3 linked regions of the Canis lupus familiaris genome follow. The protein of the gene in region 1 interacts with the protein of each later gene in a pairwise test. Links are inferred from orthologs where the notes say so. Each region holds a gene or a part of one and is shown on either strand. Other genes may lie near its edges. The genes, in order: methylosome subunit pICln-like, SNRPG and SNRPD2.

The links.
Region 2: the proteins of methylosome subunit pICln-like (region 1) and SNRPG interact in binary tests that used the Homo sapiens proteins (3 or more experiments, as listed by UniProt). The two-hybrid records come from large-scale screens. The link is inferred for Canis lupus familiaris from reciprocal best matches to the Homo sapiens genes CLNS1A and SNRPG.
Region 3: the proteins of methylosome subunit pICln-like (region 1) and SNRPD2 interact in binary tests that used the Homo sapiens proteins (3 or more experiments, as listed by UniProt). The link is inferred for Canis lupus familiaris from reciprocal best matches to the Homo sapiens genes CLNS1A and SNRPD2.

What each region holds. Positions count from the first base shown.
Region 1 is NC_049260.1:41,163,339-41,166,813, forward strand, and holds methylosome subunit pICln-like, read right to left. Parts: upstream 2,111-3,475; coding exon 1,994-2,110; intron 1,836-1,993; coding exon 1,314-1,835; 3' UTR 567-1,313; downstream 1-566. UniProt on the Homo sapiens protein: Involved in both the assembly of spliceosomal snRNPs and the methylation of Sm proteins.
Region 2 is NC_049231.1:70,134,974-70,139,197, forward strand, and holds the start of SNRPG (small nuclear ribonucleoprotein G), read right to left. Parts: upstream 2,872-4,224; 5' UTR 2,820-2,871; coding exon 2,788-2,819; intron 1-2,787. UniProt on the Homo sapiens protein: Plays a role in pre-mRNA splicing as a core component of the spliceosomal U1, U2, U4 and U5 small nuclear ribonucleoproteins (snRNPs), the building blocks of the spliceosome.
Region 3 is NC_049222.1:110,602,158-110,606,383, forward strand, and holds the start of SNRPD2 (small nuclear ribonucleoprotein Sm D2), read left to right. Parts: upstream 1-1,418; 5' UTR 1,419-1,467; coding exon 1,468-1,469; intron 1,470-3,219; coding exon 3,220-3,399; intron 3,400-4,226. Other genes in the region: QPCTL (glutaminyl-peptide cyclotransferase-like protein), read right to left, coding at 445-720. UniProt on the Homo sapiens protein: Plays a role in pre-mRNA splicing as a core component of the spliceosomal U1, U2, U4 and U5 small nuclear ribonucleoproteins (snRNPs), the building blocks of the spliceosome.

The sequences.
Region 1 (3,475 bases):
CGCTTCCATATTTTGGCTATTGCAAATAATGTGGCAATTAACATGGGGGTGCATATATTTCTTTGTTACTGTTTTTTTTTTTTCTTTGTTACTGCTTTATTCCACTTTGAATAAATACTCAGAAGTGGCATTGCTGGATGATATGATAGTTCTAGATTTAATTTTTTTAGGAAACTTCATACTGTTTTCCACGGCAGCTGTACCAGTTTCTGTTCGACCAACAGTGCACAAGTGTTCCCTTTTCTTCACATCCTCACCAACACTTGTTATTTCTTGTCTTTTTGATACTAGCCATTCTAACAGGTGTGGGGTGATGTCTCACTCTGGTTTTATTTTGCATTTCTCCAATGATTAGATTAGTGATTTTTTTTTTTTTCCAGTGGGCTCCATGCCCAGTGTGGGGCTTAAACTCAACCCTGAGATCGAGAATCACATGCTCTACAGACTAAGCCAGCCAGGTGCCCCTAAATTAGTGATGTTGGGATATTTTCTTTTTTCTTTTTTCTTTTTAATAGAAAACCTAGACTTATTTGTTAAACTATTACAAAGACAAAACAATTATCATTGAAGTACTGTGAGGACTTCGTCCCAATTTCATTTGTTATGGAAACTGACCTAAGAGGTTAGAAATTAAAGGCTATAACCTAAGAGGTTATAACAAAACAGACTGGTGAAACATGGTGAAAGAAGTAAAAGCTAATCAGAAGCATCCATATTAGTGGTATTTCATGTGGCTAGGATATTTCCCAAGAGGCTCTCTAAAGATGCCTAAATGAATTAACCTGGATCCCAAATTAGTAAAAAGACCTTAATCCCTGTGAAGAACAAGCAGTGGCCAGGATTTCTCTGAGATCTCTTTGTCTTTCTTTTTAAGGGGTAAGGGAATCCTTAGGCTCTAAAGGATATATCTTAGATTCAGCCTCCTTCCTTCCCATCCAGTCTACCTATGTCTTCAAGTACCTGCGCATTCTCACCACATAGGCCTGCCAGGTTACAGAAGATGCATATAGTGAAAGCAGGAACTATAGGCCTACTCAGAGGATACCTATACACAAAAGTTTTGGGTAGATGATAAACTACAAATACCCTCTTGGTTAAGTTAATTCACCTTTGTTAATAAAGGTCATAGTTTCTTCTGCTGGTGACAACTTTTTGTCTCAGTATATAGTCTGTCTCAAAAAAAGAACTGGTTCAGGTAAATTTTGGAGAAGGAAAAAGACTTTCATCAACACCCACTCCACAGTAGAAGAGGCACCAAGTTCTTTAGTTCTTTCCTAGTTATGAGCAGAATCCCACAGCAGCATAAATCATCTTCAGTGATCAACATCTGCATCCTCAAACTGTCCAGCAACTGTTGGTGTAGTGTCTACCTCCATCCCATCTTCATAATCTCTGATTGAATCTTCTGTCCGGACTCCAACCATGTTATATTGGCTGCTCACAGACTGAGAAAGCATTCCTTCTAATCTCTCCAAGGTGGCTTGGCCTTCTGCTGTTAAATGGGATAATCCTTCTTCATAGGTATAAAATGTAGGGATGTCCCCCTGCCCTTGTTCATGTGCTTCCACATCATATTCTTCTCCATCGTAATCATCTGAATCTTCATCCTCAGGATCAGGATGCAAAGCCTGGCATTCACACATTGCAGTGAACATTGCCTCCAATGCTGATTTATCACTAGGCACAAATCTAAATTCAGCAATAGGTTCAACATCATCATCACTGTCTTCTTCTTCAGCAACAGATTCTTTTGATTCTTCTCCAAATTTAGCATTCACCATAACATACAAATGCTCTGTGGATAGGCATTTAGGTCCCTGGACATCGCATGCAAGCTAATGGTGGGGTATTCCAGTGAGAATCCTAATCCAGAGCCATCTAACCAAGACAGGTGGATATCTTGCCAAGAGCAACACCTCCCACACCTTTTCACAGAAGAGACAGGCACATTGATGATTCTCACTCAGGGGCCGGAGACTCAAAACCTCTCCGCGATGTAGAGCGTGCCGGTGCCGAGGCCCTTGCCCTTCAGCACAGCCTCGGTCTTGGGCTGCTGCTGCCGAAGCCCCTCGGCCGAGCGGGGCAGCGGGAAACTTTTGAGGAAGCTCATTGCGGCAGGGAGCGCGGAGACATAGGCCAGGAGGGAGCTGCCGCACGGCGACTCCCGATGTTGGGATATTTTCATGTATTTGTTGGCCATCTGCATGTCTTCTTTGAAAGATCATTTATCTATTCATGAGAGACACAGAAAGAGAGAGGCAGAGACATAGGCAGAGGGAGAAGCAGGCTCCATGCAGGGAACCTGATGTGGGATTCAATCCCAGGACCCTGGGATCATGCCCTGAACCGAAGGCAGATGCACTCAACTGCTGAGCCACCCAGGCATCCCTCTGCCCGTTTTTATTTTTTTATTTTTTTATTTTTTTTATTTTTTTAAATTTTTATTTATTTATGATAGTCACACAGAGAGAGAGGATGGGGGAGAGAGAGAGAGAGAGAGAGAGAGAGGCAGAGACATAGGCAGAGGGAGAAGCAGGCTCCATGCACCGGGAGCCCGACGTGGGATTCGATCCCAGGTTTCCAGGATCGCGCCCTGGGCCAAAGGCAGGCGCTAAACCGCTGCGCCACCCAGGGATCCCCCTCTGCCCGTTTTTAAATAAGTATTTATTTATTTTTGCTATTGAATTGTATGGGTTCCTTATATATTTTGGATATTGCCCCTTATCAGATATATGATTTACAAATATATTCTACCCTTCAGTAGGTTGCCTTTTCATTTAGTTGGTAGTTTCCTTTGCTGTGCAGAAGCTTTTTAGTTGGATGTCGTCCCATTTGTTTGTCTGCTTCTGTTGCCTTTGCTTTTGGTATTAAATCCAAAAAAGCATCACCAAGACTGTCAGGGAGCTTACTGCCTATGTTTTCTTGGATTTTTTGGCTTAAGGTCTTAGGTTCAAGTCTTTAATCCATTCTGAGTTGATTTTTGTGTATGATATAAGCTAGTGGTCCCCAGTTTCATTTTTCTGCACTGGCTGTCTAATTTTTCCAATGCCATTTATTGAAGAGACTGTCCTTTCCTCATTGAAAGTTCTTGGGTCCTTTGTCATAAATTAATTGGCCATATATGCATGGGTTTATTTCTGAGTTCTCTGTTCTATTCTGTTAACTTATGTGTCTGTTTTTATGCCAATACCATATTGTTTTGATTACTATATAGCTTTTGTATGATAGTTTGAAATCAGCACAATGCCTCCAGTCCTGTCCTTTTTTTTTTTATGATTGCTAGCATGTTGTTATTGATTTATAAGTTTTCTACATGTTTTGTTAGATTTATACTTGAGTATTTCATATTTCTAAGTGATTATAAATGATTTTATATTTTAAATTTTGAAGTCCACATTTTCATTGCAAACAAATACAGTGGGTTTTTGTATTGTATCCTGTTTCCTGTGACTTCATTGAATTCAATTATTAGCTC
Region 2 (4,224 bases), on another chromosome or scaffold:
TCAATGGCACCTGGATGACTCAGTGATTCAAGCGTCTGCCTTTGGCTCAGGTCATGATCCCAGGATCCTGGGATTGAGTCTCACAAAGGGCTCCCTGCTCAGTAGGGAGTCTGCTTCTCCCTCTACCCCTCTCCCTGCTCATGTTCTCTCAAATAAATAAACAAAAATCTTTAAAAAAAATTTGAGAGAGCACTTGCAAAAGTGGGGTAGGGGCAAAGAGAGAGACTATCAAGCAGACTCCTTGATGAGCGTGGAGACCCACAGGGGGCTCCATCTCACCACCCATGAGATCATGATCTGAGCTGACACCAAGAGTTGGACACCTAACCAACCGAGCCATTCAAGCACCCCTGAAATTTCATGCAATTTTAATGTATGAGAGAATTCAAAGGTAAGTTAAGACACAGGCCTGGGGCACCTGGGTGGCGCCTCCTTTGAGCACCTGAGTTTTGGCTTAGGTCATGATCTTGGGTTGTGAGATGGAGCCTCAAGTAGGGCTCCATGCTCAGTGCAGAGTCTGCTTGTCCCTCTCCCTCTGTTCCTCCCCTCACATGCTCTCTAATAAATGAAACCTTAAAAAAAAAACACCCCAAAATACGTTGTAGTATATATAAAATAATTTAATAGGATATATATAAAAGACAGCAAATAGAACACATATGAACTTATTTAGCCCTAAGTGAGATCTTGTTATTATCACTATTTTACAGATGAGGAACCAAGGGTCAGAAAGATTTTCTAAAGTCACATAGTAAGAAAGTTTGAGCAAATGCAAATGGTTCATTTTGGCTGTAGAATGGGATACTCCACACTAGTGTGTGTCATATTTGGCACCTTGCATTTCAGATGGAAGAGCCTGAACGCCGTGCCAACAAGTCTACACTTTACTGTTCAGATAGTCATAAATTATTAAAGCAGAGTCCAGTCATTGGCAATACCACCATGGCAGTGATTTTTAGGAAGTGGGATGGAGAATTTGGTTAGGTCTCAGTATCTCCACCCCGGCCTAGTAACATCTGGGGCCAGGTAACTCTGTTGAGTGATGTCCAGCGCGTTGTACAATGTTCAGCAGCATCTCTAGCTTCTACTCACTAGCGGCCTGCCAGTAGAAACAGGCTCCCTACCCCACAGTTAAGAACCACTGAATTAAGCTAAACCAGGAGGAGGGCATAAAAGAGTAGAAAATATCTGTGAAGAAATAAAAGAGAAAAAAAATTGAAGGTCATTTTGGAGGATGGTCTCAAAGTACATGAGATCGAGAGATGAGAGAAATTATTAAAACCAGTTTCATCCTGTGAAATTCTCAAATATCTGTTAAGAAACAAAAGCACCTGTTAAGAAATGAAAAAGGTAATCTAAGATTACAAGTAGAGGATGGTTCTTTTGCTAAAAATAATTAGCATCTCACCAGTTCGTGAAGAACCCAGAGAATACTTCTAAGGTTTTGCCAAGTCGTCAAGGAAAGAGAGTTTTAGACAGAACTCCAAAATAAGTTGTATTTTTCTTAACGTCGGGCTCACGATGAACACTTCAACAGACCCAGCTAAAATACACGGAGTTCTTGCACAAAAAATGGCTTTGATACAAATATGCATTTCAATGTAAAACTATTTTTTTTCTTTAAAAGATTTACTTGAGAGCGAGAACCAGAGAGAGAGAGAGAGTGCGCGTGCGAGCGAGCAGGCGAGCAGTGGGGAGGGGGCAGAGAAGGAGGAGACACACCAAGCCGACTCCACGCTGAGCCCAGAGCCCACCGGGGCTGATCTCACCAGCAGATCAGGATCTGGGCTGAAACCAAGAGTGGGACCCTTAACCGACTGACCACCAAGGCGCCCCTAAATGCACAATTTCCTGGGCAGCCCGGGGGTGGGGGGGGGTGGGGCTCAGCGGTTGTGCGGCTGCCTTTGGCTCAGGTCGTGACCCCAAGGTTCTGGGATCGAGTCCTGCGTCGGGCTCCCTGCATGGAGCCCGCTTCTCCCTCTGCCTGTGTCTCAAATAAATAATAAAAAAAATCTTAAAAAAAAAAAAAAAAAGCACAATTACTAAATACGGCTTTTTCTTGCAGTCTGACTCCTCCACGAGGCTGGCAGGACGTGACCCACGCACAGGGCGGACGGCTGTTTCACAAAGCGACCCCCGGGTCCCGTTCTCCTGTTCTGCGCTACCACGTGCAGAAATCCTGGGACTGCGCGGCGGACACGAGACGGAGGCACTCGGGAGGCCCTGCACACGCTCGGCCCAGCGTCCCCGAGCCCGGGCCCACGCAAGTAGGAACATCCGGTTTTGAGGGGATTTTTACTGGATGCAGGAAAAAAGAAAAAAACTTACTTTTCTTGGATTAAAAAAAAAGAAAAAAATGAACGTTCCCCCACAGCGCTGTTAACAGATCACGTGACATCCAAGTCTTAACTTCTGCACAAGATCAAAAAAAAATTTATTTTTTTTAAATTTTCATCTATTCATGAGAGACCCAGAGAGAGAGAGAGAGACAGAGAGACACAGAGAGAGAGAGAGAGGCGCAGAGACCCGGGCGGAGGGAGGAGCAGGCTCCACGCAGGGAGCCCGACGCGGGCCTCGAACCCGTGACCCCGGGTCACGCCCTGGGCCGCGGGCGGCGCTAACCCCGCTGGGCCCCCGGGCGCCCCGGAGGGAGATTCCGAGAACAGAGCTCAAGGAAACCGCCGCCCCGCCCCGTCCTCGCGCCCCGCGGAGCCGCTCTGCCGCCCCCCGAGCGGGGCCCCGGCGCACGGACGCCGCCACCCGCACGCGGCCCTCCCGCGTACTCACTTTTTCAGCTCGGGAGGGTGAGCCTTGCTCATGGCGCCGACTCGGCGAGCTCGCAGAGGCCTCCACACGGCTCCCTCACGCTCCCGCCGCTTGGCGCCTGACGTCACCGGCCCCCGCCGCCAATCAAACGCCGGCAGAGGTCACATTCCCTCCCGCGATACTTTGAGGGCGCCCCCGGACTTGCCGAACGCCCGCGAGTTTCCGGTTGCGTTGCCAGCGATTGGCCTGCATGGGGCTACATGGGGTGGGACTTCCGGTCGCCTCCTCAATTCCGTTTCCTGATTGGTGAAACTGACGTAAGGGCTGGGTCTCTAAGTCGTCGGCGCAGCTGGCGGATCCCTCGCTTTGCGACCTGCGCGGGTTAGCGTCCTCGCACGTGCCCAGTGCGCACGCGCTCGGGAGGGCTGGGCTCTGGTCCTGCCAAGGTCGATCAGCCTGCGGTGCCCCCGCATCGGGCGCTCTGCTCCTCCCTTCTGCCTGTGTCTCTCGTTAATAAATAAAATCTTAAAAAAAAAAAAAAAAAAAAAAAAGACTTAGGCCTCGGTGATTCTGAGTAGAGGATGATTCTCCAAAATTCAGTTCCTCCCTAATGTCCAGGAATGGCTCTATTTAAATACGAATAAAAGACTGAGCCTCATTCTAGCACTCAAAATCCTACAGGTGGCATTTGCCCAACTTCCCACCTCTCGCTGCTTACAAGCAGCTACGGTCCCGAAATGGATGGTTTAGCCTTCCCACGGTTATTTTTACATTAATGGACTCCGAGTCCCAGGGCCTTAGCTTGTCCTGTTTTCCCCCATTTACAATGAACCAGTCCCGCGTCTGAATCACAGCGAGTTTTTACTCTTCACGACGTCTTCAGACACTTATTTTACACATTACAAAGAGAAGCATCCTAAGAAAGTTGTAGATTCACTGCTCGCATACGAGAGACGCCGTAGTGGAGGAAAAAACTAAACCTTATTTATTTTTTAAAACTGAACCACTAGGAAAATAGATCACAGACTTGAGACACCCAACGCAGGCTATATCATCATTTCAAGTACTAAGTTGGTAAAAAGACAGTAAGGTCTTTATCAAAATGAAAAGGTGCTAGAGCTGGGGCAGGAACACGGCTTGCTGCAAAGGTCCTGGGGCAAGGGTGGCATTTGGTAATGGGGTGGGGGGTTGCCCCTCTTCTGCTTTAAAGGGATCACAGCCCACCCTTGAGTTGCCTACTTTTTCTCCTTTGACCTTCCTGTCACCAAGTGATTGTCTGAATAGGACTCTGTTATTTTGGGGGCAAAATAAGCAATACTGAGTTTAGGTTTTCATCCCATTCTGTTCCATAAAAGCCAGGTTTTTCCAAAGCCAGTACCTAATAACTCTCTTAATTAAGAAGACAAGAGCTCCTCCTTCAGTGTTCATTCCTGGATGCTGGTAAATGGTGCAATCAAA
Region 3 (4,226 bases), on another chromosome or scaffold:
CCATTCCAACCCTAACCCGGACGCCATCGCACCTAAGAAGCCCCGGTTCTTCTTCCTAATTCGAACCTCCAGCATCGGAGGTTTCCAGAAGAAATCCTAGGCTAAGGAAAGTCCCTCTAAACCCACCAGGTCCAGCCCACCTCAATCCTGATGGGGAAATCGAGGCCGAGAGAGAGGAAGGGACTCTTCCAAATAGCTGACTTTCAGATTGGAACCCAGAATTCCCAGTGTTACTACTGCAGACTCTCCCTCTTAGGTAGAACCACCTATTACAGAACAAGCCCAAAGCCTCAGTTCGTTAGCAACGGGCATGCGCTCTATCGACGGAGACCGCAGCACCTGCAGCTTGGGCCAGACGACACAGCCACGTCAACCTGAGACCTCAGGGAAGGGGAGGCGGGGAATGAGGGCTCCCGCGGTGCCCGTGCCCCTGCCGGGCCTCACCCGCAGCTCCCGGCCCCGCGGCAGCTCCTCAGTCTGGTGGTGCCAGCCGCTCCAGATGGTGTAGGTCGCCGAAGCCAGGGCCAGGGCCAGCAGAAGCAGAGGCAAGAAGTGCGCCCGCGGGAGCAGGCGGCGCTTGGGCGGGGAGGGCGGCTCCAAGAGGCCACGTTCCCCGAGCCGTAGCCGGGACCGCCCGCGGCCCCCGGAAGGCATGGCAGCTTCGCCCCGAAACCGGTCCCGGACCGCGGATAGTTTAGGCCCAGCCAAATCCCACCCCATGGAATCACCGAACCAATAAACACGAAGAGCGGCTGCACCATCCCACCCACCCTCGGTCAGTGAAACCAATGGCGACCCTCACTCTGAGAACACGCCTTCCTGTCTCCCTGGGGCTTTGGGGTTGGTTCCCCTGAGGGTTGCACAACCCAAAAGGGTAGTGCGAAAGGGAGAGGCTCCGCCTCAACGGAGGAACGGAAGCCAATGAGCAATGTTTGATCCTGAAAAACGTTGGACCAAGGAGCAGGTCTCCGCCCCTCCCGTAGGAAGGCAAAGGATTGGTTACTCGAAGTCGGAAAGATCAATAGACACGTAAACGAACCGACACCGATGGAAAAGGGGCGGTGCCCGTCCCAGAAGCGAGGAGCCGATTGGCTACACGGAGGCCGCGCCCCCGAGGGCGGAGCCGGCGGGCTTTTGGAATGCCGTGTCCTGTCCCTTCTTCAGCTTGTGCCGCTCTACAACGAAACGATTTGAGTCGGACCCGCTTTATTCTTCTCTCCATTGTCTTCTCTCCATATGGTCCTGAAAGACCCTGAGCTACTACGCAGTGCTTCTACCCCACGTCTGCGCGGGGCCGGCGCGGATTGCCACGGCAACAGGCCTCGCCCACACCGTGCAGGTTGGGATTGCGCAGGCGCCGACGGAAGTCGGCCACAGGAAACGGAAGTCCCGCCTGTAGCCCTCTCTTCAGAGGCAGGAGCAACGCGGGGAAGACGGAGCTGATCTGCGAGCGCAGCCGCTACCACCATGTGAGGCCCGGCGGGAGTGGGGTCGAGGGCGTAGATGTGGCCGTTTGCCGGTGGTGGGCGAGGCGGGATCGGAGGCAGAGGTTTTAGGGGTAAAGTACGCACCGTTCTGACGAGTTTGAGGATGGGCATGGGGCCTTTTACGGGTCCTGAGTTCGAGGGAAGGCACTTGATCAGTTAATGAGCCGGGATTTCCCCGATAATGAGTCTCGCTGAAATGGATTTTAAGGGGAAGCAAAGAACCTGGGAAACGGGAGTGCGGAGTTTTAGAAATAACGGTTTGAGGTACGGGACTTACCCGGACAATTTGAGCTGGAGAAGTTCACCTCATTCGCGACTTTTTCGGCTCACGAATCGCCTTAATGATTTTCCTGATTTGGTATTCATTCAGCAATTATTTATTGAGCACTCATGTATTAGGCACTGCTTTAACTACGTGAGATACATCAGTGACTGCGACCCCCATCCCGCAAGAAAAATGCCCTGCTGCAGCTTATGGGTGTGGGAAAAGGCAGACAATGAACACACCGGTGATAAAAATGTAAAGTGTATGGCGTGTGTTAGGTGATCAGAGCTAAGTGAGTAAAGAAGCAAAAGAGCAGGATCCAAACAATGGGGAGTACTAGTTTTGAGAGAAAGTAACTCAATAACCAGTGCAGGACACATTGAGAAGGCAGCAGTTGAGCAGAGACCTGAAGAACCTGAGAACCACAAAGATACCTGGGGAGGTATCCAGGCAGAGGGAAAACGAAGGGAGATGCCCAAGGTGAAAGTCTGTCTAATATCTTATATATTTTTTAAAGATTTTATTTACTTGTGAGAGACACAGAGAAGCAGTATCCCCACAGGGAGCCCGATGTGGGACTCGATCCCAGCATCCCTGGGTCAGGATCTTTTTTTTTTTTTTTTTTTAAGATTTTATTTATTTATTCATGATAGACATAGGGGGAGAGAGAGGCAGAGACTCAGGCAGAGGGAGAAGCAGGCTCCATGCAGGGAGCCCGATGTGGGACTTGATCCCGGGACTCCAGGATCGTGCCCTGGGCCAAAGGCAGACGCTAAACCGCTGAGCCACCCAGGGATTCCCCCTGGGTCAGGATCTGAGCCGAAAGCAGATGCTCAGCCATTGAGCTACCCAGGCGCCCCTTGCCTAATATCTTAAAGGACCACCTTCAAGGCCACTGGCTGGAACAGAGAAGGATGGGAAGATGCCAGGCATTGTAAAAACTTTGGGTTTTACTTTTTACACAGAGATGGGAGCCATGGGAGGGTTTCGAAGAGTGAAATGATATGACTTAGATTTTGATACAACCTCTGGGACTGCTGTGGAGAACAGACGGTCAGCGGCATGGGCTGAGGTAGGGAGACAAGTAAGGCTCTCAGGAGAGAGATGATAGAGGTTTAGGCCATGGTAAGAAACAGATTCTGGGTATATTTTAGAGGCAGATGACAGAATTTGCTGACATTGAATGTAGGATGTGAGAGAGAAGAGTCAAGTTGATATCAGGGTTTCTGCTCAAGGAACTAGAATGATGGAGATGAGGAAGGCTGTGGAAAGAGTAGGTTTGAGTGATTGGGAGATCTGGAGCTCAACTGAGGATGTATACGGTTGGAAATGTCTATTCAGCATCCAGCTGGTGATGCCATGCAAGAGGGACTGAGCAGGGGGGTGGGTGGGTTGGGGAGACATCATGTGACCACCCACGCTCTAGCTCTGGGCCTCTCACCTACGGGTTCCATGCTTGCCCCTCAGGAGCCTCCTCAACAAACCCAAGAGTGAGATGACCCCAGAGGAGCTACAGAAGCGGGAGGAGGAAGAGTTTAACACGGGTCCGCTCTCTGTGCTCACACAGTCAGTCAAGAACAACACCCAGGTGCTTATCAACTGCCGCAACAACAAGAAGCTCCTGGGCCGTGTGAAGGCTTTCGACAGGTAAGCACCTGGGTCCTGGAAGGTGTTCTGTCTTGGAAATGCAGACACAGTTCCAGTGTGAGGAACCCAAATACAAGGTTTTCAGAGTCCTGGGGCATAAGCATATTCAGACCTCAAAGTGCAATGGTGTCTTGTTGTCCTTCCAGCTGTGCAGTACAGTAGTGATGGGCATGTACTTGGGAGCCAGGCTTCCTGGGTTTGTGTCTCGACTCTGCCTCTTAGCAGCCATGAAACCTTCAACAAGTAACTTTATCTCTTCCATTCAATGGCAGTAATTCTGGTGATTGCAGAGATTCAGTGACTTAATACATGTGATGTGTAATACAGTCATTAGAAGTACAGCATCTGGCACCAGGAAGCTCTTATTAATCAGGTTTTGCAGTTACGATATAAAGTACCATGCCCCAAAAGAAAAAAATAAAGTACCATGCCCAGTACTTTTTTTAGGCTCCAGAGACACAGCAATGACTGAAAGAGGACTCCTATACTTAAGAGAGCTTATGCCATAGGTAGGGAAACCAACAGCAAGCACACAAACAATGTGTCATAAGAATAGTAAAGGCAGGTGAGAGTGTGGAGTGCTGGGAAGGAGGTGTTGTCCTAGACGGTAACGCTAGGGGTTCCATAGGAAGAGACCGTGATGAACAGACCTAAATACAATGAAGGAGGAAGCCAGGGTCTGAGTGTTTCAGCCAGAGGGAACAGCAAGTGTTATTTCCTCTCTCGGCCTCAGTGTCCTTGTCTGCAAACTGTGCGTCATAAAAATACCCCTCATAGAACAGTTGTGAGGATTAAATATTTCTGTAGGAAGGGTACTTGGCTCAGTA